7 separate regions of the Mus musculus genome follow, and all the other regions are reported to be linked to region 5. Evidence: microRNA targets listed by miRTarBase, many of them from high-throughput screens and not tested one by one. Region 5 holds a microRNA gene; each other region holds the end of a gene's coding sequence.
Evidence for each region. Region 5 holds the annotated microRNA mmu-miR-181b-5p (AACAUUCAUUGCUGUCGGUGGGUU, at 2,341-2,364, opposite strand). A microRNA usually pairs through its seed, bases 2 to 8, with sites in the 3' UTR of a target mRNA and lowers its output. Matches are read on the target gene's strand: a 7mer-m8 pairs with bases 2 to 8, a 7mer-A1 pairs with bases 2 to 7 and ends in A, and an 8mer does both.

Region 1: miRTarBase lists Atp5g1 as a target of mmu-miR-181b-5p. The part of its 3' UTR that is shown has no 7-base or 8-base seed match.
Region 2: the mRNA of Trim2 is a reported target of mmu-miR-181b-5p. Seed matches in the 3' UTR shown: 8mer at 858-865, 7mer-A1 at 1,826-1,832 and 7mer-m8 at 2,826-2,832.
Region 3: the mRNA of Cbx7 is a reported target of mmu-miR-181b-5p. Seed matches in the 3' UTR shown: 8mer at 2,777-2,784 and 8mer at 3,084-3,091.
Region 4: miRTarBase lists Timp3 as a target of mmu-miR-181b-5p. Seed matches in the 3' UTR shown: 7mer-m8 at 2,996-3,002, 7mer-A1 at 4,017-4,023 and 8mer at 4,091-4,098.
Region 6: miRTarBase lists Atp2a2 as a target of mmu-miR-181b-5p. Seed matches in the 3' UTR shown: 7mer-m8 at 1,079-1,085.
Region 7: miRTarBase lists Aicda as a target of mmu-miR-181b-5p. The part of its 3' UTR that is shown has no 7-base or 8-base seed match.

What each region holds. Positions count from the first base shown.
Region 1 is chr11:96,069,238-96,073,556 of GRCm38, forward strand. Atp5g1 (ATP synthase, H+ transporting, mitochondrial F0 complex, subunit C1 (subunit 9)) reads right to left here. Exons shown (of 5, transcript NM_001161419.1): 4 at 4,286-4,319; 5 at 3,556-3,981. The coding sequence ends at 3,867. Among named protein-coding and RNA genes, the nearest start is that of Atp5g1, 4.2 kb to the right of the region's middle.
Region 2 is chr3:84,161,467-84,165,828 of GRCm38, reverse strand. Trim2 (tripartite motif-containing 2) reads left to right here. Exons shown (of 12, transcript NM_001271727.1): 12 at 580-4,362. The coding sequence ends at 732. Among named protein-coding and RNA genes, the nearest start is that of Mnd1, 7.9 kb to the right of the region's middle.
Region 3 is chr15:79,914,766-79,919,081 of GRCm38, reverse strand. It overlaps Cbx7 (chromobox 7), which reads left to right. Exons shown (of 7, transcript NM_144811.3): 5 at 257-329; 6 at 606-805; 7 at 1,032-3,275. The coding sequence ends at 763. It also overlaps a transcript of Apobec3 not described here. Among named protein-coding and RNA genes, the nearest start is that of Cbx7, 16 kb to the left of the region's middle.
Region 4 is chr10:86,345,326-86,349,687 of GRCm38, forward strand. Timp3 (tissue inhibitor of metalloproteinase 3) reads left to right here. Exons shown (of 5, transcript NM_011595.2): 5 at 380-4,180. The coding sequence ends at 577. All of the region lies in intron 6 of Syn3 (synapsin III), which reads right to left. Among named protein-coding and RNA genes, the nearest start is that of Timp3, 47 kb to the left of the region's middle.
Region 5 is chr1:137,964,652-137,969,013 of GRCm38, reverse strand. It overlaps Mir181b-1 (microRNA 181b-1), which reads right to left and starts at 2,375; the gene lies at 2,296-2,375. Mir181a-1 (microRNA 181a-1) reads right to left here and starts at 2,559; the gene lies at 2,473-2,559.
Region 6 is chr5:122,453,516-122,457,877 of GRCm38, reverse strand. Atp2a2 (ATPase, Ca++ transporting, cardiac muscle, slow twitch 2) reads left to right here. Exons shown (of 20, transcript NM_001110140.3): 19 at 249-366; 20 at 452-1,554. The coding sequence ends at 727. Among named protein-coding and RNA genes, the nearest start is that of Anapc7, 33 kb to the right of the region's middle.
Region 7 is chr6:122,561,888-122,566,249 of GRCm38, reverse strand. It overlaps Aicda (activation-induced cytidine deaminase), which reads right to left. Exons shown (of 5, transcript NM_009645.2): 4 at 4,294-4,362; 5 at 2,070-3,830. The coding sequence ends at 3,777. Among named protein-coding and RNA genes, the nearest start is that of Aicda, 10 kb to the right of the region's middle.

The sequences.
Region 1 (4,319 bases), not on the chromosome of region 5:
ACTATTGCTGTTTTCAGACACAACAGAAGAGGCATCGGATCCCCATTTACAGATGGTTGTGAGCCACCATGTGGTTGCTGGGAATTGAACTCAGGACCTCTGGAAGAGCAGTCAGTGCTCTTAACCACTGAGCCATCTCTCCAGCCCAGGCCTTGAATTTCTTGACAACTTTGCCTGCATACTCCAAGTGCTGGGATTACTAGCATAAACAAGCTCGATCATGTACAATAGCTGCTTAATAGTGTAGTAAAAAATATTTAATTTATGAGCTGGGAGATGGTTCCAGTGGGATAAAGGGCTTGCTGCCCACACATGAGGGTCTGAGTTTGGATATCCAGTAAAAGCTAGGTGTGAGAGGCTGGAATAGTGGCTCAGAATTTAGAGGACTCATGGTTGGTTCCTAGCACCCATACTGGATAGCTCACAACTGCTTGAAACTCCAACACCAGAGGATGTAACACTTCTGACCTCACACACACACACAATACAAAATAGAAGTATTTGGGCTCCAGATTCAGTGAGACTCTGTGAAAAAAATAATGTGACTGGGGACAGGGATTTGATTCACTTGGTTGAATGGCTGCCCTGGTCCCCAGCAGCATGTGAAACTGGGCACACAAATGTTACCTCATTTACATATACTACCTGTAATATTTCATTTTGTTACAATCATCAAGAATCAGTCTCATCCCCACTGTAGGGATGAAGAAGTCCCTACTCGGGAGACAGTGACATCTTAGCTAGGATAGGGCTATTTGTATTTGTTTGCTTCTTAAGCCCATGCATCCCTGATCTCCCTGGCCCCCCTAGCTAGGAATAGAACCCAGGGTTTCAAACATGTTAGGCGCTACCACTGAGCCACACTGCCAACCTCATGATCAGCTCCTGACTGTGGTTCCTATGCCCTTCTCAGAGCATAGTTTATTCTCATACCCACCCCTCAGATCAAAACATCTTTGTACTAAGCCATATGGCCTCATCCATGCACCAGAGCTAATATGTCACAGACGTTGAAGAGCCTTAGTGGTTATGGTACTAACTAGCCTATAGCAGACAAGAAAGCATTCTCCCTCCAAGAGTCCACTTGTTAAAGAGTCCTAGCCCTGCTGATCTGTTAAGTTCAGCCAATTCCAGGGTTCTTTGAAGGCTGCGATGGGATAGAAGGAGTCTCTCAGGTTCCTGGCCTTCCACAGGAAGGAAAAAGCAACTACTTTCCCTGGGGAGTGTTCCTTGATTACCTCCAGAGCAAGTGACCTGTCAAAGGTGCCAGCGTCATATCCCCAAGGGTTATGGTGTTCCGCTTGTGTAACAGCATTACCAGTTAATCTATTGCTCCCTTGGTGACACTTTGCCAGGTCACCTTCAGTCCTCTTGCTTTAGCCTGAAACTGCCAGGCTGTCTCAGGATTTACCACCACTGGTCCGTAACTCTGAGGGAGTTACGTTAGGTAAAACGACTAAGAGGGCGTCTGTCTCTGGTTGATATCTAGAGGCTATGTTAGGAATGACTACTGCTCCCTGAACAGAAACAGCCCTCAAGACAACTACTGAAACTGCCGTGTAGGGATAATCTCTTATGTGCTGTGTGGAAGCATCACCTGTCAATAAAGAGTTGATGGCCTATTAGCAAAAGGTGGGAAGTAATAGGTAGAAGATCCAGGAGAAAGGAATTCTGGGAGTTAGGCTGAGGAAGATGGACATGTGAAACTGAGGAAAAGAAACCAGTTATGTAGATGAACTCAGGTTCAAATAAACTGGATAGGTTAAGAGTTAGTTGGGGGAAGCAGCCTAGCTTATGGCCTAGGCATTTTTTAATAAATGTAAGCATCAGAGGGGTTATTTGGAAACTGGGGTGTTAGGGTTATACTACCAGGCCCCATATACAACAAAGCCGAGAAATGCAGAGTCAATGTCAAGTGGACCTGGGTTGGAAATAGAGGCTTGCTGCAGGTCATTCAACATAGTCTTGATGAGTCAGCACAGTGATAAGGAGAGGTTCTAGAATTTGAATGGTAGCTTTCCTAACCAGCTATACAACCTCAGCAGGATGCCCCACCCTCAAAGTTCTCTCCTCTTGGTTTCTTCCTTTTAAAAAAAAAATTTAGGATTTATTATTTATTTTATTTACATGAGTACACTGTAGCTACCTTCAGCCACAACAGAAGAGGGCATCAGATCCCATTACAGATGGTTGTGAGCCACCATGTGGTTTCTGGGAATTGAACTCAGGACCTCTGAAGAGCAGCAGTCAGTGCTCGTAATCACTGAGCTATCTCTCTGGACCACCTCTTGGTTTCTTATAAAAAAATTAAAAAATGACTTGTTCCAGACACGAAAGCTGGCTTAATGATTAAGAGCTCATACTGGGGCTGCAGAGATGGCTCAGTGTTAAGAGCACAGGCTGCTTTTCTAGAGGACCTGGGTTTACTTCCCAGTCCCCCCACATGGCCCTCAGAACTGTCACTCCAGTTCCAGGAGATATGACACCCTCAGAGACATATATGCAGGGAAAATACCAATGTACATGAAATAGAAATTTAAATAATTCTCAAAAAAAGAAAAAGAGCGCAAAGTGTTCTTACAGATGTGGGTTCTGCTTACAGATGTCGGTAACACATCTCCCTGTCACTCCAATTCCAGATCTGATGGCCTTCTGGCCTGAGTGCCTGCACGGACATACAATCCCTCCTGCCAGTTTGCATACACAAACATGGATGCATGTATGTTTTTTATGTGTGTGGAGGGGGGAGTGGCAGTAGACTAGTCATTATCTTCCCTGGGCTATCAGTGTCATTTTAGCCAAATGAGGGCGAAGGGAGGTCTTGGCACAGGCCACAGAAAAAGAAGCTTCACACCGCCAAGGAATTTATTAGTCCACACCCTCAAAAAGCATTTTCAGGCTCAAGCAAAGATTACAGATTGTTGCCGGGCAGTGGTGGTGCACGCCTTTAATCCCAGCACTTGGGAGGCAGAGGCAGGAGGATTTCTAAGTTCGAGGTCAGCCTAGTCTACAGAGTGAGTTCCAGGACAGCCAGGGCTATACAGAGAAACCCTGTCTCAAACAAACAAAACCAAAAAGCCTTTACACCACAGAGCCATCTTGACTGCTTGACACCTCTATCTTTAATCTGCTTCTCCATAGTACTTTAAATTGTGGGGCATGAATAAAAACAGGACTGAGGGCGAGTGGGAGCAATGGCTGTGTGACACCTTTAAACTCACGCTGACTCCCCTTCCCCGCTCAGGGTTTTGCACAAACTCTCCTAAGCACAGGTCTCTCCCGTGTAAAGCAGGCTTAATTTAAGCTAATGCTTAGCAGGACTGCGGTTCACCACTCAGCACAGCGCTTGTTCTGCACAGCGCTTGTTCTAAGTTAAGCTCCTCAACAATGTTACCTGCTACAAACAATAGGGGGCGCATGCCTTTAACCCCAGCTTCACAGCTAATCTGGTCTATAGTAAGTCCCAGGCCAGCCAGAGCCACACAGCATGGCCCTAAGGACTCAACAAAATAAAACGCTCCCCGCCCCCGCCCCGCCCCCGCCCCCAACGAAATGGCACCTGTCAGTATGCTAAACTTGAAAGTGACAAAGCACCAACATCATTACCCAGGCTATTTCATATCCTCCTGGGAGACGGTGGGACCCTTCCACACTCTGCCTTATCACCAAGGCTGACCCAAGTGTCACTTCTCACCATTCCAAAGACGCCGCCTACCCCCGGGGTAGAAAGACAGGCACAGGCACATGGTTTAGAGAAACGTTGTTGTTGTTGTTGTTGTTGTTTAATGGTAAAGCTCAGTAGACTCCAGCACCAGGACTGGCATGGAGTCAAAGCAGCAGGGACGGCTGGGTGACCCCAGGGAGCCTCACATGGCGAAGAGGATGAGGAAGGCGACCATCAAACAGAAGAGTCCCATGGCCTCAGACAGGGCAAACCCCAGAATGGCATAGGAGAAGAGCTGCTGCTTGAGAGATGGGTTCCTGCCAGAGACAGAAAAGGGTGAGGGTCCAGGTCAGGGGAGGGGAGTGTGCTACTATTTCAAAAGGGGCTAGCCTACATCTACCCTGGGAACTTGGGCAGGAAAGGGGCTAGCCTACAGCTACCCTGGGAACTTGGGCAGGAAAGGAGACTAGCAACTCGGCAAGTTCACATGTGGCATGCTTCAATTCTGACTTAGGTCACTGGAGAGACAGGAGGTTAAAGAACATCAACTTGGAGACTCCCACTTGCTAAGACTCTGCCCCAAGTGGAGTGGAGCAACAACACAGGCAGCCCCGAACTTACCTGGCATAGCCAATAATCAAGCTACCAAACACTG
Region 2 (4,362 bases), not on the chromosome of region 5:
CCAGCTATAAAATTATTATTGTTGCCATTTCACAACTGTAGCTTTGCTATTGTAACTGCTTGTAATATACTTTTGAAGATAGGGGTTTGCCAAAGGGGTTGAGAATCACTGCCCTAGAGGATTTCGAGAGAACCTCAGGTCTTCAGCCTGTCCTGGAAGGTTACAGAAGCTGGGTTCCAGTGTCAGCAAATGAGGATAGCAGTGGTGGCAGATGCACCAACAAGGCAGATGCACCCACCAGCCGGGACAGAAAGCAGTAGGCCAAAAGCAGCAACTTCTCTCCCAGATCTCCTTAGGCCTGGGCCACAACAAGGAGGTTCTGCCCACACCGAGGGAGAGTCACCTCTTTCCCCTCCAGGTCATGTTTTTAGGAGACATACTTATGGATGTTTCTAGAACCCATCTCATCATTGTTTCTAGAACCAACTAGATCAACAACCAAGGTTAACCATCAATACTCTGTGTGCACAGCAGCAGCCTGAGCAAGCTCAGAAGGATCCTGACATGCGTTCCTTATTTTAAATGCATGTCCTTCTGCATATGTAACTTCCCTGATGCTCTGGTCTTATGTCTATGCAGGTTTTTGATGGGAGTGGATCATTTTTGTCCTATATCAACACATCTGCTGACCCGCTCTATGGCCCCCAGGGCCTGGCTCTCACTTCAGATGGCCATGTTGTGGTTGCAGACTCCGGAAACCACTGTTTCAAGGTCTACCGGTACTTACAGTAACAGTGGACAGCTCTGTACTGAGGTCTTGCACTAGAAACTGGAATGGAGTTCTCAAGGTGGGACCAGACTACGATAGGACTTTTCATACTAGGAAGAATCTTCGGTGAACTTCCCAAGGTTATTTCTGAATGTAACCATTTCTTTAAAAACTGTCTATCCAATTTCCGTAATTCACTTTTAGGATTTAAAAAGAATCTTCTTCTACTGAATCTATACAAACTGCGAAGTTTTACACCCATGAACTATGGCTCATAGGACAGGGATTTCTGTAGTTAAACTAATTTTGCAAATCAGACGTTAAAAAGAATTAGCGTATCTGTTGACTGGTGAATGAATGATAGCCTTTGCATAGAGCTTCCAAGAACAAAACTTGTAGTTGCCTATTTTATTTAACTTCGATCACAAGACCCAAGGGACCTTCTAACCTCACTTTTACAGTAGGTGTTATTATTCTGGTGACATGTTTTTGCTTATCAACAACCACATATAAATTACCTTAGAAAAATCCAAGGCTGTCTTGCAAGATCCTTTCAGTTCAACTCAGGCCCTGAGTTGAGCCCATCAGAATCAATGCAAATTCCCCAAATTTCCTGGGTTTGATCAAAGATCGTTTCCATGTGTTCTCTTCACCTTCTCATTTCTGCTCACCTTGCATCAGAAAATGAAATATATTTTCAGGAAAACCTGAAATTCCCGATGCTTTGGAAGGCACGTAGCAAAAGCAAGGGGACTCTTTGGTTACTAGCTTCAGATCAACACACTGGAATGGAATCAAGAGAAGTCACATTCATGTGCCATGCGTTCATGTGTCTTTCCTCTTCCACATCACGAAAGCGAAAGCTTTACCTCCTGCAAAACGTCAGCACATGTAGTCAGACGCCAGTGTCCTAGGACAGAGAGCCATAAGCAGCCCTTTGGAGGATGGATGGTGTCAACCAAAGGCATGTGATTGATTCATGATTTCCCCTTAGAGAGCAAGTGTTACCAAAGTTCTGTTGAGCATTACAGGTAAGGGCATGTTGTGGTTATTTATCATTGTCTAATGAGTAGTAGAGGCATTAAGGGGGCAAGTATACATGGTTAGGGTAAGATAGAATGTATTATACATATATATATATATATAAATATATAGCTGAGTCCTTGGTGTGCGGGAATAGGCAGCACTCTGAAAGACAGAAGCATTGTCCAGCCATCCTTCAGTACATTCCCTGCCTGTTGCAGTCTGAAGCCGTCCCTGGAGAGTGAGCCCCACAGCAGCTTTCTGTGCTGCCATTTCCTGGCATGATGGTGATGTCTGGCTTCCAGTCAAATTACCTTCTTTGTGTTCAAGAAAAAAAAGAAAGAAAGGAAGAAAAAAAGGAAGAAGGGGAGGAAGAAAGAAAGAAAGAAAGAAAGAAAGAAAGAAAGAAAGAAAGAAAGAAAGAAAGAGAAAGAGAGAAAGAAAGAAAGAAGTCTTTATAACATTGAGTTTGAGTTACCTTTCATTTAGGTATAAATGCATTTGAGAAACATTACCTGTCATGGATACTGTAAACTAAGATGTGTTCTCTTTCCACTGATTTTCTACTCAGTTCTACCAAATAGGAATGTTGTGCTTTGCATGTTTGATGATGACGCTGTGATGTCATTCACCGAAAGCACCTTAGATATCTACTGTAAAAGACATCTTCCCTTAGATACAAATGATGATGTTTATGGCTTATTATCTTAAAATTCAAATGTTCTTGACATAAATTTTTTAAAAAAATTTAGAAGGGAAATCTGGCTACTTCCAGTGGTCTATTTAATTCATTATGCCCAAATCAACATCTGGGTGGAAAAACTTTATTTTCAGAAGATTTACATTGGTATTTAGCTTATTATTATTTTAGTTCTGTGGGGTTTTAAAATACACAAGCCTGTCTTTACTAGACATAAAATTTAATACCAATTTTAGAACGATAAGGTAAGACTGCTTCTGAATATCATGAAATAAGTCTTTGATATTTTGGTTGTAATTTTTTTTTCTTGGTGCTGGGGATGGTACTCACGGCCTCAGAGATATTCAGCAAGAGCCCTACAGTCGGGCAGAGCCTGCAGCCCAACCCTCAGTATGAATGTCAGTGTTTCTCCCTCCAGGCTTCCGACCAGGGGCCAGGAATGCATCTAGGCACTGGGACCAGAGGGATGCTTAGAAGAGAAAGGCATCTCTGCCCTTGTACAGCTTATACTCTGGAAAGGAGACATCGTTGTGCTTTAATAGTCTGCCTGCAGGACTGTTTCTGTTTCTGGGCTACTTAAAAGAAAGCTTTTTTTAAAAAAAAATGAGTAAATTAATTGTAGAAATTAAAAATGTAAAAGTAGAAATTTTGTTTTTGTTTTTTGTTTTCCAAGACGGGGTTTCTCAATGTAGCCCTGGCTGTCTTGGAACTCACTCTGTAGACCAGGTTGGCCTCGAATGCAGAAATCCACCTGCCTCTGACTCCCAAGTGCTGGGATTAATGGCGTGTGCCACCACTGCCCGGCCAGAAAACATTTTTTAAAGAGGCTGCCATGGGCTGTTTTTGGTTGGTTGGTTGGTTCTTTGTTTTGTGGTGCTGGAGATGGAATCAGGGCTCTGCAACTGAGCCACACCTCCACGTTGCAACTCTTATTTTGAAAATGAATTTACCAAATGAGTTCTCATTTTGTACAATGTTGAGATATTTGTGAACTGAGAAATTAATTCGTAAATGAATCAGCTGCACATATAAAATATCATGTCAGGCTTGATAGCTCAATAAGAAATAACACAAATTTTTTTTTCTTAACACACAAATATTGGTATGAACTGGAATGAAAGGGTAATTTAATTTAGACCTGTTCCACCATTGGCTACTAAAGCACCTGCTGTGGGCACTGCAAGAAACACTACATTCTACACCTGGGTACCTGTGTGTGTTCACTGTATTTCTTTGTGGTAAGCGAATTGGGGGTTGGGGGTGGAGTGCTGCTACTAAGATATAAATAGACAAGGTCTAAATGGAATTTTGTCTCATTTGGTCAGAATGGTTTCTGGTAAACTGAGAAGGATTATTACAATAAGTGGCTTTTTTTGTTCTAGGCTACTGTTACTGTCCAATTGATCTTCGTTGAGTGTATAGAACCCGTCACACATTCATGATACGTAGCACTGAGAAAGTAAGCGTTCAGCTTTCCCTTGGGCACTAAGGACAAGCAGTTAGGTTTTATAGGTTAACGATAGTGTGTCTTCTCCCGCCATAAACCTCCCTTGCTGGACACAGGGTGGTAGGGAGTCACTTTGACTATCCAGAAACACACAATTAGAAAGTTGTTATGACTGTTTGCTGGTGTTTAAATGATGTGTAAGATTTTGATGAAACTTTAGTCTCTGTAACCAAATAAGCCCCCGAGTTTCCTAAACTTGACAAAATTTGAGGCAATAAGCACCCCTGGTCCATGCAGCTGTTGCACATCTGCTCCCACTACATGTACAGGGTATGTATGTCCTCACGGGGAATGAACTGGAATAGCGGGACGTAACCAGGTATATGGAGCCTCGCTCTAAAGGGTTAGCATAAATGCTTTGGTAATACCTACGGAGGAAATTGGAGAGATCAGATCAACATCAGGCCATCTGTAGGTCACATC
Region 3 (4,316 bases), not on the chromosome of region 5:
GAGCTCCCACAAAGCCAAGGGCAATGAGAAGCTCTGCTTCTCTCTGGCGCGCCCGCTCCGCAGCGGGAGCCCCATGGGGGTGGTCAAGGCAGGGGTCGCTGAGCTGGTGGAGAAGGGCCCCTTGGTGCCCACCCTGCCATTCCCGCTCCGCAAGGCGCGCAAAGCCCACAAGTACCTGCGGCTCTCACGCAAGAAGTTCCCGCCACGCGGGCCCCACCTGGAGAGTCACAGCCATCGACGGGAGCTCTCCCTGCAGGAGTCAGCAGCCCCAGACGTTGTGCAGACCCCCGGAGACTGGGAGCCTATGGAGCAAGCCCCCGAGGAGGAGGGTAAGTCAGCCATCCTGAGACCTCAAAGCCGGGAAGGTCCCTGACCCCTGTCCAGGGGGCCTGGAAACCCAACAGTGGAGCAGGCAGGACTGACTGGACCTGGCCCCTGCCCATTCTGCTATAGCTAGCTAGGCAGGTGCACATGCGCCCTCCTAAAGCATCCTGCTTCAAGCGTGTGGGGGGATGGGCAGCGTGCTACCATTCACGACTTCTGACTGCCCACTCGGTGCCGAGTGGTGCCTGTACCTCACCCGTGTCTTTGTTCCATGGCTGCAGCAGAAGCAGACCTGACCAATGGGCCGCCTCCCTGGACACCCACGCTCCCCTCAAGTGAAGTTACCGTGACTGACATCACCGCCAACTCCGTCACCGTCACCTTCCGCGAGGCTCAAGCCGCCGAGGGCTTCTTCCGAGACCGCAACGAGAAGCTGTGAATAGCGGCTTCCCCTCTTAAAACTGTGCTTCTTGGGGCTTGGGTGAGGATTTCCAGAGACAGGAGGGGCTGGGAGCAGGGTAAATATTTTTATTTTTTAAAAAAGTAGAAGCACGGGGAAGACCCCAGCACCCGCCCTTGCTCCCCGACGGTTGTTTACAAAGAGGCCTCAGAAACAGGGGGGGAAGGCCAGTGTTGTCTGGGTCTCATCTCCTGGGCAGATGGGGACAGGCTACCCTGCCCAGTACGCCTCTGTCATTATCTTTCAGAGGCTGATCCGTGGAGCCGGAGGAGCCCAGGAGGTCCAGACCTTGCCTCAGGCAGTCACCCCAGCTTTCTGGTGGTGTCCCTTCCCTGTCCCTTGCCGTGGGTCTTTACTATGAACTTTCCACTCCAGCCTTGTGGTGGGACACAGAGGCCGGCCTTGGCCACCGGGGACAGGATCAGGACAACCGGCACGGGCTGGACCAGGGAAGAGGCTGCCCACCAAGCCTCCTCCGAGTGTGCTGTCTCCCTGCCATTGGCCTGTGTAGAGATGCCCATGAACACATCCGGACACCCCAACATGCACACCTTTAGAAAACTGACCAGTTGAACATGACACCATTCACAGCACAAACAGAACTTGCCGCGGCACCCTTGCTCCGCCTTGCACGTAGGTCATGTGACAGGATCTGTCGGCTGTCATCTCCGAGCCGCCAATTGGACCAGGCTTTGGTGTGCAAGGTGCAGATGCTTCCACACAGGCTCACAGCCACCTGGCCCACCCTTCCTCCCACAGGAGTTCACATTCTTTCTGACTCAGGTGACTTTCCAGCCCCGCCCCCCAATTTCTCTGCCCTCTCCTGCCAATCAGCCGATCTGGGCACCCATGGGTGCCAGTGGTATGTGGGCAGTCAGGGAGGGAGTGTCCCACCACTTTCTCAGGGCAGTCCTTGTCTTCTTTGTCCCCCTCCCCACCCAACCTGAATGGCATGGCTAAGGATGGATGACCCCTCCCACCTTGTGGGGGTTGAACATGAATCAGGTTGCACACAAGTGTGTGGTCCTGATTTGGCAAGGGGGGGGGTGCGGTTTGCTGGTTTGCACAGGTGCCCTATAGGCTGACAGCTTCCTACCTGAGGACGGCTCCCTCCCTTGTCGAGAGCACATTGCTCACACACCCGCTGCTACCATACGAACCTATATGGCTGGGTCCTAGCAGCTACCAATTCTGCTGTGTCTTTAGGAGGCCAGCAGAGTCAGTATGAACAAGGGCAGGATGACTTCTAAACACTACCCTGCCCCGTGTCTGTCTGCGACTCTATCCTCTTCCTTCTCTAGTCCCTGGTCTCCCCCTCCTTTAGTCTTAATGGTCCAGGGTTAACTCAGTGCTTCCGTTGGTGGCCGTCATCTGTGGGTGACCTGAATCTAGAGGATGTCTGGGTGGGCCAGAGAGAGGAGAGACAGGAACCTCAGCCAGTAGGCTACAGGAACCTGGAGGTGGGGAGACCTTGGTGTTCTTGAAGCCCCAGCTCCCAGAGAGGTGAGGGTGGCTGGAGCTTTTCTTTGCTGCTGGGTTTGATGGCCCACCATATTGGGGGACAGAATCCCTTCGGTGTCATGCTTCCCATCCCTAGGGGCATGGGACTAAATGCCTGTACAATTTGAATTTTGATCATGAGACCCCAGGGGGGGCTTTCCAAGCAGCTGCCTTCTGTCTTTTGCAGTAGGCGGTGACCTTTTATCTCACGGGGCCCTTTATGAAACCCACCAGTCCCTGGAGATTGTGGACTAGGCTGGATATCCCTCAGGGTAGCCATGTAGCTCTGAACTGCTGGAAACTGGCCGCCTAGGGAGAATGGCAGAAGGCTTCGAGTGGCTATACACAGGCTTCTCCTAGCCTGAAGCTACCCAAGTGGACAGTAACACGCCCCCTCTCCACCCACATACACTAACCCCATACAGGGCCAGTACTCCATGAGCCAGCAGTGGCGACCACCTGCCTATCTCTTAACCCCTCCCCCTGCATATTTGAATGTAGAGGTTGGGTTGAACTTCCCCCTCCCTGGGTTGGGGTGAAGATGTGCCTCAACCTCTGGTGTGGACACTTGTGCAGTGCCACAGTTGAGCCCATTTGGCCCACGTGGTTCTCATCTGGTAAGATGGTGATCTTATTGCCAAGTTCCTTCCACCTCCTGCCTACCGAGGAAGTAGCTCGGTGTCAGCGAGGTGGTATCGATTTTGCTTTATAAATGGCGGGCCAGACCTGGCCACCAGGTCTTTGCGCAAGACCGCTTCCTTTGCACACAGAATGAGCTACGAGCTTTGTTCAGACGACCTGAATGTATTGGGAGGAATTGGGCATAGGCCTTCCCCCGGGGGGAGTGCGATGGGAAGAGTAAGCAGGTGTAGGCTGCAGTTTTATTTTTGTACTGATATTGGTAAAAGACTGTATAGCATCTATTTATTTAGATGATTTATCTGATAGATGAGGCAAAAATTATTAAAAAATACATTAAAATGTCTTTAGAGACTTCTGTGTGTCTGGTTGTTTGTTTTGATGGTGTGATAACTGTGTGATACCCCACCCTTACCCTCAAACCGTAGCCCAGGACTCCGTGCCTCCCAACTATAGTCCATGGTATGGGACTATAGACATCCAGTCTTCTGAACCCAATTAAAATCAGCTGAGGAGAGAAATGAGCCTAGCGTGTCAGGGCTGGGCCTGTGGCCGTGAACCTTGCGGTTCCTCTATATCTTCTAAGAGTAGCTGGTTCTAGAAGACTGGGTGTCAGCAGCTTGAGTGTTCAGTCTCAGGCTGGAGAACCAGGTCAGTCATGAGGCTGACGCGCACTTACATGGACTCTGCACACCTGACAAGCTCGACACAGGCAGTGCAGAAAGCATGCACTGCTTAGTTCTCTCGATGGCCTGCCCTGCGCGGCTGTACAGGCAGGACTTGACACCTGCAGAGGAACCTTGGGTATGTCCGTCCACAGCCAAGATGAGAGGTGATGTCAGGAGAGCCTCTGGAGGTATGGTGTCCACTGCTCTACTGAGCTCAACTCCACAGAGGGCCCACAATCTCCAAGACTCTGCAAAGAGGTGGCCCATGACAATAACAAAGGAGACAAGCTTCTTGGTAGGATGGCCATTGGTCCTCGGAGCTGGTGCTGGCCCCAAGGTTGCAGTGGACAGTATTCATCTCTCTCCTTCAGTCCCCACAGCTGGCATTTCCACAGGTCAGTGCATTCATCAGAGGGGTCCAGAGCCCTTTTATCTTACCAGGCCATGCCTCTGATACTGTCTGTCTTAGTCTCCACCGGGAATAGGAATGGCGAGGCTACTCAGCTCCAGCTTCTGGCAAGCTCCTCTCTCCTGGATTGGAGGCAGTAAACCTCGGGGTCAGTAGCAGCCTTGCAGCGATGAGATACTATGTTAGCGTTGTTTCTTCCATTGGCCCACTGGTTGTGGGAGGCAAGTACCCAGCTTCAGCGGCAGGGTTTTGAGGCGCCCCCTGCACTGCTCGCCTGGCAGCAAGGATGTCTCTGTTCTAAGGAGCAGAGTCTACA
Region 4 (4,362 bases), not on the chromosome of region 5:
ATTCAGGACCTCTGGAAGAGCAGTCAGTTTTCTTAACCACTAAACCATCTCTCCAGTCTTGCTTTTGTTGTTTGAACTCCTCCATTTCCTACAACAGTGGTAGTCGCCTCTTCCCACATCTAATCTGAGACTCAAATGCTGTGTGACCTGGAATGAGCTGTTTAACCTTTCTGAGAGTCTCTATTCATCTATAGAGGGGATTTAGAAGTGTACCAAAAGTTTAGAGACAGTATGTCTGGTGCCCAGTAGACACTCAATGGGAGCTTATAGCTAGTGTTATTAATCTGGTAGCATTAAAGGGCAGGAACCCCCTGGGTTTGAATTCAGGGAGGGCCTGCCATGGTGCAGTCCCCTAACTGTGGCTTGCGTGTCATTACAGATCAAGTCCTGCTACTACTTGCCTTGTTTTGTGACCTCCAAGAATGAGTGTCTCTGGACCGACATGCTCTCCAATTTTGGGTACCCTGGCTATCAGTCCAAACACTACGCCTGCATCCGGCAGAAGGGTGGCTACTGCAGCTGGTACCGAGGATGGGCTCCCCCAGACAAGAGCATCAGCAACGCCACAGACCCCTGAACCCAGACCTTCCCCACCTCACCTCCTTCCCATCCCGCCGAGCGTCCCAGACACTAACTCTTCCCAGATGATGACAATGAAATTAGTGCCTGTTTTCTTGCAAATTTAGCACTGGGGACACTTAAAGTCTCTGCTGTCTATGGAGTTGATTTGGAAATACCTTCCTGGCCCCGCCCCTACCCCTTCTTTTTGGTTTTGACATCACCCATTTCCAACTGGGGATCTCTGGTGCCAAGCCAGAAAGAACGAGGCATGTATACACCTCTTCTTCATGATATATAATCTATATTTTTTTAGGAAAACAGAAATTGAAAAATTTATCCCATTGGGGCATTTAAAGCTACTCTTCTTTCTTCTTCCTCTCTTGACCACATCCTAGACCCAGTTCCATATACACTTCTTCATCCCAATACACAGGAAACATGGATAAGGAAGTTGGCAGAAGTCCAACTGTTTCCCAATCAGTCAAAGGCAGCAAGCAGACAGACGCCAGGTATTTGAAAGGTCTTCTACACAGAGGATATACAACTGTATGTCTGGGTCAGACAGTCTGTCTATGTGTGCATGTCAGAGGGAGAGAAGAGACAGACTGTAGGAGTGGGTCTCACAGTTATCCAGCCCTGTGATACTTGGGTTGACCCCATGTTTCAGATCCTGGAACAAGCATCCAAGAGTAACAGAACTTTCTGAGCTGGCAAAGGCTTAAACATCTGCCTGGGTTCAGCAGGCAACCTGCCCGTCTGTACAAAAAACTCAAAGGGCTGAGATGAACGTCTTTCCTCTCCTGCCTCCCATGAGACAGTCTCCTAGGAATTCTTGGGGAAGTTTGGCTGGAAGCTTGCCAACTGTAAGTTGGAGAAACACACACCTGACACTATCCACAGATATAGTCAAGTAGATTTGGATAGAGAATACTATTTCCAAAGTAGTGTTTAGCTCATCTAGGGGGATGTGTTTATATATACATTTGCATATACCCACGGGGGATTATGAGCTAATTTTTTTTATAGGACACAGAATTCTATTCAATGCTGTTAAATATGCAAATAGTTTAATCTTTTTTTCTTTTGTTGTTTGATGGGAAATTGTGACATTCCAAGTTGACTTTTTTTTATTATCTGAATTAAAATTTGAAACTCTGACCACACTCAGTACCCTACTGTCCCTATAACTGGGGTTATCTGACCATCCATCTCCCTTCTTTGTTCTGCTTTCTGTTCGGGGTGCCCTTCACTTAATTGCCTTACTGGCTGGCTGACGGCAGGGGAGTGTGAGTGTTAGGTTAGGGCCTTCTCATGAAAGGGGCAGTTGCACAGTGGAATGACTCCTCTCCTGGATCTGGGGACAGCATACACTTCTTCCCCAGCTCAGTAATGGGTGAAGTCACTTCCGGAGGTGGTCACCTCATAGAATGAACATGATTGGTTACTGAGGGAGCCAGGCTCTGCCGTCCAAATGTAGGCCTTTTGTTGTGTTGTATTTTTGTTTTTAAATAAAAGTACAGTATAAATTTTCCTATTAAATAAGATTATTTTAAGTTTTAGTGTCAACATTGCAATGCCAATAGTAGGTGAGAGTGTATTGCACAGAGTTGGAGATAGTAAGGTGGTGACATTTAACACAGTTACTCTGTCTTTTTTCAGATTATGGGTATTTATCCTCTATTAGTATCATATCGTTTTCATTCCACTTTAGAAACACAGTTACCAGTTGAGAGAGAGAGAGAGAGAGAGAGAGAGAGAGAGAGAGAGAGAGAGAGAGAACAAGTTCTAGTCTGTCCCCACCCCACACATACCACTGCTTTGTCCAGGTGTTTGATAGAAGAGCAGGGCAGGAAGACAGTTCAGGAGATGGGTGTCAAGTTTTCTCTTGGTTGATTTCATTCCCTTGCATCTTTCCCCTGTGCTGACAGGGGGCAGAAGGCACAACCATTTCCATGGTGTGCCGAGAGAAGGAGCTGAGGTCAGCAAGCCAGTGGTTCTTAAGAGCTGAACCTCTGGCTTTACTGTTGGAAGTTGTCTATTTCAACCTCAGAGTTTCCTAATATGGCGCTCCTGATCTATCTTACTCAAGTGCCCTCCCATATGTATACCCCAACATCTTTTCCATCTTAATCCAGCATCGGGCCATTCTCAATCCCTGGTAATCACCTCCCTTTTACATGGACAGACTTGAGGTGAGGCCTAAGTATGAGGCACCTGAAGATAAAACCAATGGGCAGAACCAATGGCCCCAGTCGGCTTTTGAGGTCTTGGTGAGAAGTACTGGCCACGAAAGGGTCTTGTGTAAAGTTACATCATCGGAGAGCGGTTTTTGAGCTTTCAATAAGCTATAGCTTTGTTTATTTCACCTGTTCACTTACTGTATAATTTAAAATCATTTATGTAGCTGAGACACTTTGATACTTCAATTATATCGTGAATGTTTTATTTTGCTAAATCATGTGCCATGTGTAGGCTGTTGTGTGTACACTGTGTCTAAGAGAAGAAGAAAAGAAAAAAAAAAGAAAGAAACCCACATGCCATTTTTTTTTTCTGATTCAAATTCTACAGTAGAATGGAGGGCAGAATTACTGGGACACAATCACCACTCAGCTAGAATGGAGATTCAAGGAAATGGAAGGTACTAGAAACAGACTCCTCCAGCCTCCTCCCCATAGAATCCTAAGGGTGGGAAGAAGAAGAAGAAAAAAAGCAAAAGCAAAACAAAACAGAAATCAAAAGTACACTCAAGTTCTTGTCCTGTATCAAATATCCCTAGGTCATCTGCCACCCACTTTCCAAGACCTTTCTCCTACTCAACCAGGAAGTCATGGTTTCTGCAGTCCAGAGCCATGGCAACTGAGATTCTAAGCTCTCTTTGTCTCATCCAGGCAACTTTTCTGTCTCCCAACCAAGGAATTCCTCTGCTCAGGCTCCTGTTGCCCAGGATAGCTCTCTTCTATAGCCAGGATGTGGAGCTTAAGGAGACTCCAATGTTTACTTTCTCCAGTCCTAGCTCTGCCATATAAACACTGTCTCATGTTGTGCTTCTTAAACGACAAAGAACATAGTGACTTTTGGGGATAGATCTGTCTGGGAGATAATGTGAGTCCAGGAGGCATTACTCTTCCCTGCCTCACATCAAGGTGCCATTCAGGTAGTTGGCTCCCAGCTACTTAACGATAAAAATATCACTTTCGTATTTGTATCAGAGAAACTTAAAAAAAAAATAAAGTCTGATGGTAGAAATCCAATGAAATGGGAGAAGGCAGGAGAGAGAGGTCTCAGTAGATCTAAGTCGGCTGTTTGGGTTGAGGAGGAGAGAACCCGAGGAAATGACCATGCTCTGGGGACAGGGGTACCTTAGATTCTCTGTCTATTTTTCCTCTAGCAAGCCAGCTGTGCTGAAGCCCAGTAGAGATGAAGAGACACCAGCCAGAGAAAACCCCCTCTAGAAGGAATGTATTTGTTGCTAAATTTTGTAGCACTGTTTACAGTTTTCCTCCATGTTATTTATGAATTTTATATTCCGTGAATGTATATTGTCTTGTAATGTTGCATAGTGTTCACTTTTTATAGCTGTCCTTTATTCTAAACAGTAAAGTGGTTTTATTTCTATCACATACCTGCTGTCTCTTGCCTTCTTGTGTCCTGGCTTGGGAGGTTATAATTGATATCAGAGAGGATCTTGCAAGCAGATTCTGCCTGTCTTCCCTATAACCTCGGCACACAATCTCCTTCCACCCTTGGCTATAGCTTGGCCCATTTCAATTATGCCCGTTTTTGCAACAGATTTCAGGAGAG
Region 5 (4,362 bases):
GTAATTAAAATTTAATATTTTATTATGCTTTGAATTCAAGCCTATATACATGAACAGTACAATCTTAAGAATTTTTTTTTACAAATTGACTTTTATATCATTCACATCAAACACTCAGACTGTTTTAAAGAAACATAAATAATAATAAATAATGTACTAAAAATTTAAAGTGCAAATATGTGGAAAAATTTTGTCACCCCATCAGGTAAATGCACATTGAAATCATAATCATTTTATGCCTACCCCCTGTTAGAATGGACATTATCAAATACATGGTAGCAAGTGACAAGAGCTAAGAGGGTAATGGAAAGGAATAAAGACACAGGAAACCACTGTGAACGCTAGATGTAAATTAGTGCAACTATTTGGGAAAACCGGATGACATGTCTTCCAAAAAATGAAAATAGTATCCCTAAATTATATGTCCTCACATCCCTACATCCTCTGTGTGTGTGTGTGTGTGTGTGTGTGTGTACTGAGATATGTATATCAAAGAGGTATTTGTACTCTCTTCATTTCAACATTATTGATAATAGCCAAGCTTTGGTAACAAAGTGTCCTTCAATCAATGAATGAGTAGAGAAAATATTCTGACATTATGGATGTTTTCATAGGTATACACACACACACACACACATATATATATACACATATATGTATACACACACATATACCTATATATCTACATATCTCCATTACCTTAGCATATATACGAATACACACACACACACATACACACACAAATACACATATGAAATGAAATACTATCCAGGCTTAGAAAAGTTTATCAACAAATATATACCTGGATGAATTTATAATCAATGAAATAGAGGCCAGTGCCGCAGGATCCACTTAAATATGGAACTTAAAGGGAATGATTTTATGGAAGAAGAGTAGGAAGTTTGCTACCAGGGGTGGAATAATACTGGTGATTTGGTTTCACCAAGACCAGCTTCCATTAAAAAAAAATCTGCACAATTGGGAGAGAGCAATGTTTCAAGATGTCAAATTGTGGGCTGAAGAGAAGTAATGAGAGAACACACAAATAGAGACTCTTCTGCAGGTTACTAATTAAGTGACGTTTCCAAACTCATAGCTTTTTAAGATAGAAAAAAGAAGGGGGCTGTTCAGTGAATGAAGCAGGAATAGAAACTTTTTTTTGAACTTCTTGTTTTTTGTTGAGATTAGAGCCTTGTCATACGTTAAATGGAACGAAACAGACGGTGGGAGAAAGGAGTTATGATAGATAGAGATGCCCCAAGCAAGGCAGGCACTTGTGAACTAACTACGTAAAATACTGTGGGAATGAATATTCTGAACACTAGAGCAAGGTCCCAGGAATGGATTTCTGTAGTGGGAGTTGAATGTATATCATAATAAACTGATCAAGAGAGAGAAAGGACAATATGTTTGATAGATTTTTTCCCAACGAATTAAAATCTATTAGGTACCATGTACTAGGTACCATGTACACACTGTATGCTGAACATCCTGTTATAAATATTAACTCCAACCACTGTACTTACTATTGGAGGTGATGAACCTTAATGACAGATGTTCTTTTTGAAATTATAGAGCCAAACTAGTTAGGAAACACACACACACACACACACACACACACACACACACACACACACACACACTTGCTTGAAGACAGTCCCTGGAATCAAGTCTACCATTTCAGAAGAAAGTAGAGGGTAAATAAAGATGATGAACTATAATCTTAAATCTGAGGTCTCTCTGGGGAAACAAATCTATTGCATGATTATAATGAGCCCCTGGATAACAAAGTACTTGGCTATTGAGGTACTATCCCTCTGCCTACCAATTCCATAGAGAGTAGAGCCATTTCAGCGATTCTTTATGCAGAGCAAAAGAATTCCCTCTTGCTTCAAGCCCATTTTGACCAAGAAATCTAATGAAAGATGAGGGGATGGTTATTTTCTGTGTAACAATGTGACGGATAACGGGGCAGGAAGTAAGATATTTCTTTGGTTCTTCCTCCCACCAGCACAGCAGAGCAGGAAGCCGTGCCAACCCAGGGCTACACAGTTGATTCTGGGCATCCAACACTTTAGCATTTTTAAGAAATGCCCCATTTGTAACCCCCAGGAGTATAGAAAAGCAGTATTCTTATATAAATTAGTGACTTCCTCACAGAAATAGGACTTGATATGAATTGAATAAACAAACCTGAAAGTTCAGACAGCAGAAGTTAAACCGAGAAACGGCGTTAATACCCCCAGGACCTCTATTAGGGAGGGAACGTCTGTTGATTGCGACAGCAAAAAGCGGGGCCACAGTTGCATTCATTGTTCAGTGAGCTTTTCTACACAGTTCAACCCACCGACAGCAATGAATGTTGATTGTGACCTTTGTAAACATAGTCTCTGAAGAGGCGGGGAGAATCCTGTCGGGTCCTGCTTTGCGGTTCTGTCTTCAGCAAACGCAGAGGGCCATGGAGTAGATGATGGTTAGCTATAGGGTACAATCAACGGTCGATGGTTTTTATTTGAATTCCAAACTCACCGACAGCGTTGAATGTTCACTGAAGCAACCTGTGAGGCAGAGATGTGCTGATTTAAACAGTATCTGTGGGAGTCTGGAGCAGGAGGGAGGCAGAGGAAAGCCCAATCCTTTAACCAAACCTGTCACACATTTTAAACCATTTCAAAAGAGTACAGAAGAAAAGAAGCAGGATTCCTCCAGCCCAGAGCTTGGCAAACCTCCACTTTGTGCTGTGTCAAAGAAAAGAATCGGATTTTTTTTTTTCAAAAGGGAAGAAAAGTCCTTTTGGGGGGAGCTTAGTTACAGGCTGTTAAAGACAGGGAGAATTTATCATTCAACAAAATTGGAACTATCAAAAAGCAAAACAAATAGTATCTAAGTATCTCATAATTTAAATATTGGTATGTATATAATAAGAACTGCAAGGACGCATGTAGGTCATGCAGAATCAAGCAGAAACCACTTAGGTTTTCTCAAGTTACATTGCTAACAATTTTGAACTTCTATGTTTACAATGTGCATGGAATAAGCATTTATTTTACAATAGGCATTTTAATTAGTATAATTTCTTTTAAACATACTTATTTTTAAAACAATCAAGGAATCAAACCAATTTAGCACATCTTTCTTTGCTTATGACACAAGACTTTAAACTACAATGAAAATTAATACAACCTATGCCTACTGCCTGAAATTCAACTCCTCTCACTTTGGTTATTATATCCTAATATTGTTATTTGTTTTGATTGAGTGGATCTGGCAGTAACTTCTATCCATTTCCTAGGTGTTCTTGAAATGAAGTGCATTTACAAGTTAGTATGAACTCTATTGAGCATGTCTTCAAAACTGATTTCAAATATCAACTTAAACAAAAATCCCTTTGTACTCCTCAAAACTAGGGTAGAAAGTTACTACATTATACTTATGTAGACTCTTAAGTGGCTTTAATAAGTATATATATATATATATATATATATATATATATATATATATATATATGTGTGTGTGTGTGTGTGTGTGTGTGTGTGTGTGTGTGTGTGTGTGTGTAACTATTAATAAAATATTGGTGAACCATTCAGTCCAAATTTTTATACATATTCATTTTATTTACTTAGAATATTGTATGCTAAACCTGTAATCATTTATTATCTTGTACACGAAGAGATTACAGGACAAGTGTCTCTGGCTGGTATTTTGAGGTAGATAAGGTAACGATCTGCTGATGGCATGCATTCAGACTTCAGATAGTTACAAGACATAAAACTGATGAATCTGAATAGTCCTGTGTGGCTTCCTTTGAGATAGCTTTCCTGCAGAGGGCTGTCTCTTGTGGAAGGAAAGCAAGTCTTCCTGGGACCATCTGTGTTATCAGTTTCACCAGAATGCATGTTGCTCATGTTCCCTTGCTTGACCACTGCACTATCATATTCAGGCCAGCATCCCATTGCTTCTATACATACCTGTCATTGCTTTTGATATCATTTTTTCAAGGCTGCTGAGCTGAGACTCTAAGCCATGATCATTGCCTTATCTCAATATACAAAATTGGAACTACGATCAAGCAATTTCCATCCGAATCACAATTAATAGCAAAGCACCGCAATGTGAGGGGTTTCCAGAACCTTCTAAAATTCTCTGTAGAAAATATAAGTCCAAATTTCTCAAATTCTTAGAATAAAATTACGGAGAATACTATCATGAAGTTCTTAGGAGATTGAAAGTGATTGGTGTTTAGTAAGAAATTAGATTAAACATCACATCACTGACATATTTTAACTCCTATTTATCCAATGAAACATGTACTTTTCTCATGGCTATAGTTTTTGATGAGAAAAACCTCTCAATAACTTAAAC
Region 6 (4,362 bases), not on the chromosome of region 5:
GTTCCATCTAACCAAGCCACTGATGGACACAAGTTTCCAAATGGCTCTACCTTGGGTCATCACCAGCAGCTTTGAGCCTGCTGAGATGGGCCTGCTGCACCAAAGCCTCCAGCTCCCCGCACTGGGGAAAGCAGGCCTTTAGAGTTAGTTAGGTCAGCAGGCAGTAGCATCACTAAACCCTTGCCTGCTTGTGTGTCACTGACGCATGCCTTTGCCTCTGGTGAGGTCACTTCTCTTCTCACCTGTAGCTTGTCTGAAAACCAGTCTTTGCTGAGGATGCCCCCCTGGGAGAATATCTGGCTCGTGGGCTCCATCTGCTTGTCCATGTCACTTCACTTCTTGATCCTCTACGTGGAACCTTTGCCGGTGAGTCATGATGGACCCCGGGCGGGGTCTGGGGTAGTTCCTTTCAGGCAGGGCCAGAAGCTTGACCCAGCCTTGTTTGTCTCAGCTCATTTTCCAGATCACACCGCTGAATCTGACCCAGTGGCTGATGGTGCTGAAAATCTCCTTGCCTGTGATCCTCATGGATGAGACGCTCAAGTTTGTGGCCCGAAACTACCTGGAACAACCCGGTAAAGAGTGTGTGCAGCCTGCCACCAAATCTTCCTGCTCCCTGTCGGCATGCACCGATGGCATTTCCTGGCCGTTTGTGCTGCTCATTATGCCCCTGGTGGTCTGGGTCTACAGCACAGACACTAACTTTAGCGATATGTTCTGGTCTTGACTGACAGCGCTACATACAGAAGATGTTTAACTTAATCAATTAATTTTTTATTGTTTAAAGCAACTGTCTATTTCTGCTGAATTTTCACATGAACATATTGGCTGGTGAAGGAGGTTTCATATCTAGATTTTGTTTTGCTTTTTCTGACTCCAGTGGGACAAGATTTTCCTTTTTTTATACACATAATTAAAGTGTCCATTGACGTGTACAGAGAACTAACACTATTTTATGCAGATATTTTTTTGTAGATGAAAAAGCATGTACAGTGTTCTGTTTAATACTCATACTTGTACAAAGATAGTTGAGCCAGCAGACATTGTCAGCAAATTAATTGGCAGCAGACTTAGGAAATGAATGTGTGTGGTTTTTAAAAGAAAAAAAACTAAATAGCATGTATTGTGTCTTTTGCATGATTCTCTGGATTTAATTTGGTATCACAGTCTAATTTTTATTCATAAGCCAATTTTTCTGCACTGAGCAGAGTCCTGCTACCTCAGTCAGTATTTTTGGTTTGCCACTTCCTGCACCCTCAGCCTCTGTCACCCCCAGCCCACCCCAGCCTGCTCGGCTTCTTCTGTAGGTCTGATGGTTCTGTTTACATCCGTCTTCACGAGAGGTTTGCCTGTCTCGCTTGTGCAGAAAACATTGCTCCAGATCCAATCGACTGGGTTTCTGTCCCTTCGCCTAGTTTTTAAGGTTATTTATTTAAATGTCTAATGTATTTTATTGTAACAGACATTGTTTTGCCAACATTGCCTATTCAATGGCACTTCACAATCTAGTTTAAAAGAAAAATAAAACATTTTAAATGGACAGAGAAAAATAACTGTCTTGTTCTTAATGGCCTTGAATTACGTATAATCAGTTCAAATTTCTGAGCTTCTCAGCTTAGAGCCTTAGTTTCCTGTTCTGAGAAGAGTCCTGTTCTGCCGCATAGTAGGATTTTATTTATAATGTATAGGCACGATCTGTCATGTGATATACATTACTCAAGTTTCTGCTGGCCCGTTGTATGTAGGTTGGTGTAAGGGCAAGTGTGTGTTTATGTGTGTGTATGTTTTGTAAAATCTGTAAATAGCACATGACCAAATGAACATATTGTATAGAAATATTTTTATTTGACTATGGCACTAACCACCACCACCATGACTGATGAACGTTTGCGCATGTTCAAGGTCAGTCTTAACGGCAGTGTGAGTCATTAACAGTCCTAACTGTGGTGTTTTCCTCCAATGCCTTCCAACATCCATCAACTAACGTGAGTATCTTCCCTGTGGGACTGGGGTGCTGTGGCCTGTGTACAGGTGGTGCCACTGATGAGCTGGCCCCTGTTGCTAGTGAGCTGCATGGCTCCTGTGTCCACCAGGCAGCCACTCACTACACAGGCTACCCTAGTGTAGACACTGACCAGGACAGCGATCCCTATGAGCTGTGGGAAGGAGAGCCTTGGGACCTGGCTGACTTCAGGCTGAAGGAGCTGTGTCACCTCTAGTACCAAACTGAGACTGGACACAAACCATGTCACAAGGCTATGGGTTTTCAGTGGCTGAGGAAGACTAGGAAAGCCAGCTGACTCCGCATAGGCAGCTTTTGTCACCCTTCAGGACATGTCTCAACCCTCTGGTGTGCAGAGGCCTGGAGACTGCGACCTCCTCCCTAAGTTGCAGGAGAAAGTGCCAGGTTCTGAGGGAACCTGGCACTGACCCTTCCTTGGGGAGGCCTCTGTGTGCTACAGGGAGCAGTGATTCTCAGGAAGCAGGCAGGTTTTGATGGAGTGGGCCAAACACAAAGGTACAGCTGAGTTAAAGACCAAATCAGAATGATAGCGTGCTGGGCCCTAACACCATGCTGTTCAGTGCCGTTTACGAATGAGTGGGCCCTAAAGGAAATGGACCTCATCCCTGAGTGCTGTGTTGCTTACTGGGACCTGTTCAACCCCAACAGATAGACTAACACTTGACCCATCCAGCCACAAGCAAGGCTGACAAAACCTTCCCCTGGCCCGCATAGACCAAGGCCAACAGCACAGTCCCAGCCACAGGCCACCTCCTGCATGTCCTCAGCCCTGCTCTCACCCAGCACCCTCAAGAAGGGACAGCATTTATTGTGTCAGCATCATGCTCAACCCACTAGGGCAGTCTAGCCTGGACCCCAGCCTTGAACTTTCCCGGAATGGCCTCTTCAGCAAAGCTGTCTAAAGGTTCCACCCTGCAGCCCACTCAGCAAAATTCAGGTGGTGGCCTCCCCGGAGAGCTAGCAGGGCTACTAAGGCTGGAGAAGGCTAGCCATCTCACAGCAGCTGCTATCACAGCACCCTCAAAATAGGGTCTCAGCCCCAACAATGGCACAGGCCTCAGGAACATCTAAGATGGCAGCATTGGCTCGGTGCCTGCAGAGCCGCAGAGCCAAAAAGCATGGTTGCCCTTTGTCGTGAGCTGCCAAACTCCATTAGGACTGACCCCTGCAATTGGGAAACCTTCAAAGCAGAGCTGAGCCTGTAGCCCAGGACTGGCTGCCATAGAGAACAGGGAGGGACAGGAAGGCCTCTCCCCTGGTGCCATGCCACTCACTGCTCCACCTGCCTCACCCTCTGCATGGCTCTCAGCCCTGTACCTGACATGCCTTCTAGTTTCTGCCTCCTGGAACTTTGGTAGGAGGCGGCCCAGGGCAGTCACCAAGCCACTGCTTCTAGATGTGCCTGGGCAGCAAGCACTTGGAACACTCCGTCAGAAATGCTGGTTTTGCATCTAGACCAAATGCAGTGTTCTTTCTGTCTGTCCCTGTTGTTGTGTCTTAACATTGCTCTACGTTTCGAAAAGCTGATTTCCTCTCTCTTTCCTTTTCAGCAATACTGGAGTAACCGCTTCCTAAACCATTTGCAGAAATATAAGGGTGTTCGGGTGCGTGCATGTGCGTTGTTAGCAACACATCTACCAGCCCTCTGCATGACTGAGGTTGGGGAAAAGAAAAATAGAAACAGTCCCCAACTCACTGTGTGATGTGGAGGAAATGTGTATTACCAGTGGGGTTTTAGCTGTTCAATCAAAATAATAACAAATGTACAATTTAGCATAACAAATCAGAGAGCCTCTCCAGAGAAGTTGGTTTCTTTGCTGCGAGAAGGAGGTTCTGAAACCTTATCCAAGAACAGAAGCCATCAGCCAAGTCTCCACATTTCTCTGCAAAATGTCATAGCCTCTCTAACTGTATGATAATTGTAATGCATGCCTTCAGTTGTAAGTGGCCAGATTGCTCTACAGTGACATTGAAACATGCTTTCTAATGGGCCCTGTACAGTTTGCTTATTTATAAATTCATTTAAAACACTACAGCTGCTGAATGGTTACAACATAGGCCTCCAGTCCTAACTTCAGTTGTTTAGGTGTGCAGCCAGCTGTTCCACACTGTATTATTGTAACTTATTTAATGAAGTCAGAAGCAGTAGACAGATGTTGGTGCAATACAAGTATTGTGTGCATTTATCGTAATAAAGTGCTCAGCGTCAGTTCAGTTGCTCACAGCTTCTCACAGCGCATGTTTGACTGTAGTCTGTAAATAGAGGTCAGTTTCTGTGCTGGTAACAGGTATTGCACAGACATGATTTCAGGTAAATAAATCTATTCTACGATAAACCC
Region 7 (4,362 bases), not on the chromosome of region 5:
AGGTGTGGTATTTTCTTTTGTGCCATTTTAGGGTGGAGAGGGTGGGCAAGATGGAGTCAGTCAATCAGGACTTAATTCTTCCTTGTGTTGTGTGTGTGTTTTTCTTCCTCCTTTTTGTTTTTTTAAAATTTCTCCCCCCCCCCCCCCCCCCATTGCACCAGAGTATGAAATAGCTTCCGGGTTCTCTGGCTCTGATCTGGGCAGGTGATTGTGGTCACACTCTGACAACACTAGGGGTCTAAACTGACTCCTCTTGTAGACTTACCATTATTATTATTATTTTTTTTTTAGCAGTTTAATGGGTACATTATAGAGTCTTCCATTTTGAGTGGAATTAGCTCCTCCCCTTCAAACGCTGTAATTAACATCACTTAAAATAAAACTTGAGAAAAATACTGAAATCTCAAAACGAAGCAAAACCAAAAAAGGGAACAGTCATCATTATCACTACTACAGAGAGAGCATTGGTAAAATGAAATACAAATTGTGGAATATGAGCTGGCAAGATGGCTCACTGTGCAACAACAGTGCACAACAGTGGTTAGAATGACAAATGTCCCCATAGGCTCAGATATTCAAAGTCGGTTCTAGGTAGGTGGCGCTGTTTTGGGGTGTTCAGGAAGTGCAGCCTGGCTGAGGGAGCACATCACTTGTGGGCTTTAACTTCCAGTTTCCCTCTCTGCTTGGCACTCGCTGTTAAAGATGTGATCTCCCAGCTTCCTGCTCCTCACGTCATGCCTGACACTTGAAGCCATGCCTCCACCCCACAGTGATGGCTTCGTTCTCAGTGGCATAAGCCAAGATACACACGCTCTCTTCCTTAGGTTGCCCTTGGTCATGGTGTTTTAATCACAACAACAGCAAAAGTAACTAACACACACTCACACTAATACACACACTCAAATGAATTAGTTAACATTGGAAGCCAGTTCAGTAGACAGAGCAGCGGGTGTTGGTGACTCAGAGTTTTGTGTACCAATGGTTTCCAGGAAATACTGGACATATTGCTCACTGCAGAGAAGGGGGTATATGCTATGGGATGCCATGAGAATTCCCAGTTAGAACCAGTTCTAGAGTTTGGGCTTTGGTTATGTGGTAGGAAAGGAGGGTGTGTTGTGGGCAATGTGAACCCTCTGGCTGGGCTTATGAATAAGCTCGTGTTTAGGAAATGCGCCTAGGACAGTGTTGTGGATAGCCCTGGGGCTAATTATACCCCCAAACCTTAGAAACCGCAAGTTCTAAAGGGTCTCATAGATGGAGAAGATGGTAGTGCAGCGGTAGATCTGCCCAATCTAGGCGCACAGCATGTATTCATATTAATTGAGTTGTGTTTTCATTGCCAGGGCATATTTGGGTGGAGATTTACTGCAACTACTACTGATCTTCTTGTCTCAGCCTCCCGAGTAGGGGACAGGCAGGTGTCACCATGTGGACTGCACTCTTTGCACCTGATGTCAGATTGCCCCAGCAGGGTTTGCTGACTCAGTACACCTTGGACCTTTATCTGAAATCAGTTGGTCATAGCTGAGTGGGTTAATTTCTGGACTCTCAATTCAATTCTATTTCATCAGGTATTTATTTCTCTAAGGCAGGCTCTCTCTGTGTGGCTATCTGCGGAGCACTCTGTCTAGATCAGGCTGACCTCAAACCCACAGAGAGCCTCCTGCCTCCATCTTTCCAATGCTGGGGGTTAAATACATGCGCCACCTTCCCTGTGATCTGTATGACTTTAATATATAAATGCTTTTTCCCGACATCATTTTATTCAGTAGTTCATCTCCAAAACTTTCACATTTTAATCTCGAATTCAGTTGATTTAAAATAAGCCAGGATGAACTTGCTGCACGCAGGGTGGGGGTTGGGGGTGGGGGTGGGGGTGGGGGTGGGGGTGGGAGTTGCTAAAAATCAAGAGCACAGCTGCCGAGCCATAATCATTACGATTTTGGATGATCACAATGACGAGTGCAGATATATAGTAATCTCTAAAGTTTCAAATTTATGAAACTTCAGGCACCCACTTTAATATTTCAGAATAGATGCCACGCAGCAACATAAAAAACAGGGATAGATGCAGGAAGGAATGGATGATCTTTATTTTTTTCTCCTCTTCCTCAGCAACTTACATACAATAAATAACGGTCGTGTATACAGGATTTCTTGTGGGCCTTTTAATTGCATTATAATGGCGACTGGGTGATAATTGCACAGGGATATTTTTTTCTAATATTTTTCTCATTAGCAAAGATCGTTGTTAGGGAGACCAGACATAAAGAGGGACAAACTGGGAGTCTATGTTGGTTTCCTACATTTCGTTGGGCAAAGCGTCATTTCCTTGCCACGGTCTTGCGTCTTGCATTTTTCCCTTGTTAAGTATGATTTACCAGAACCCAATTCTGGCTGTGTTGTTTGAAATAGGGTCTCACCTTACAGCTCAGACTGGCCTCAAATTTACAATCCTCCTGCCTCAGCTTCCTGAATGCTGGAACTATAGGTGAATGCCACTTTCCCTATTTTGCCACCCTCTTACACAGTTAACAATTTGGGGGAGCAGCATCACACACATATAAAAACTAAAAATTCTGTTTAACCGTGTTGGCATCCATCACAGAGAATAAATCACTGCCCCATACTCAAACGACTCCCAGGTACCCATTACTAGAAGTTTCTAAGTCACAGGCTCCTTTAAGTCTTGTTCCCAAGGTCGCAAGGAAAGGAGAGTTGGGACTCGGGGGCAATTTCTGCCGCATTCTGTCTCTGCGCCCTTGCAGAGCTTCCACCGTGTTGGGCCAGAGAATCCGGAGGTTCATCACCTCCGTGGTCCGTCTCAGGCACTATGAGGAGAGCCCGGGGAAGAATTTGCCATTTGTAATGGAAAACGAGTAGCGGTTCCTGGCTATGATAACTATATACTTTGGATCTGGGCGCTTTGCTCCTTTCTCTACAGCAAGGCACCAGTTAGTTAAGAAATAAGGATGTTTGATCCCTTTAACAGAATTACTGATGTTTAAGGGACGCGATCTGAAAATTGGGTTGAACCCTTGAACTCTTCTTCTTGATAAGACTGTGAGTAAACTAATGACATTAAAAATGAAAAAGAGTCTGTGTTTCCAGGGGATTTGCTTCTTGAGGCGTGAACTCATTTTCAGAGTGATTTCTTCGTAGTCCTCATCTGCATTTTAAGATCCTTTATTGAAATCACCCAGAGGCGATCGTGCATTCTTCAAATCCCACCCCAAGCCCTTTCACATACAAATGTGAAAAACACGACGGACAGTGAAAACATACAGCATGTGCCTGAGTATTAATGCTTTTGAGAGAATGGCTTGTGATTGCTCAGACAGAGACTGTAGGACAGCCCCGTGACCTTGTCAGAAAAGGACCCCTGAAAGTGAGCCTTAGAGGGAAAGAATAGAAGAATCCGTCACTGATACCCCTGAGAATTCAAATGAATCAAGGAACACAGGGTGGGTGTAACAAACTGTGTGGTCGTCTCCATATGCTTTTCCATGCTGTTGAAAAAAAAGAGCATCATTCACGACCCAAAGTCTGGAAGTTCTGCTGTTCCCCAGTAGATGGCGATGTTGCACAGCAAGCTCAGTTACATCATTGCTCTGGCGGTCCTGTGCAGCTCAAGTATTTTTTAAAAAGTCATATAATTTCCCCCTACACTTATAAAAGTGAGTACTTAAGAAGAAAAACATGTAGTTGAAGGGTTGTTTTTCTATCCAGTCTCTTCAGAGAAATTTCATCACGTGTGACATTCCAGGAGGTTGCTTTCAAAATCCCAACATACGAAATGCATCTCGCAAGTCATCGACTTCGTACAAGGGCTGTGGAGAAAGAGAGATGATATAAACGGAGTGAAGGGCTTTAAATTTGATCTCTGGAAAGGAAAGTGTCTAAACGAAGTGGGTGGCTCCAGAGGAAAGTAAATTGCTTGAGGACCAGGAAAAAAAGAAGGGGCGAATTCTGCCCTGGAAGGAACCCCACCTGAGGGGAGGTTAGCAAAAGGAAAGAGTTATGAAGACTGAGCGAAGAGGAGGCAAGAGGCAAGCGTCTAAGTGGAAGCTCTGTCCTGGGTAAAGCAGAAAAGAAAACTGGGTTGTAAGTGCCTTGAAGTAATCATTGTATAAAATAATGCATAATACAAACAAATAACTAAGAGGCTCCAGGTGTGTGTGTGTGTGTGTGAGTGTATGTATGTGTGTGTGTATGAGAGAGAGAGAGAGAGACAGAGACAGACAGAGAGACAGAGACAGACAGAGAGACAGGCAGACAGACAGGCAGACTTACCAAAAGGATGCGCCGAAGTTGTCTGGTTAGCCGGACAGAATTTTCATGTAGCCCTTCCCAGGCTTTGAA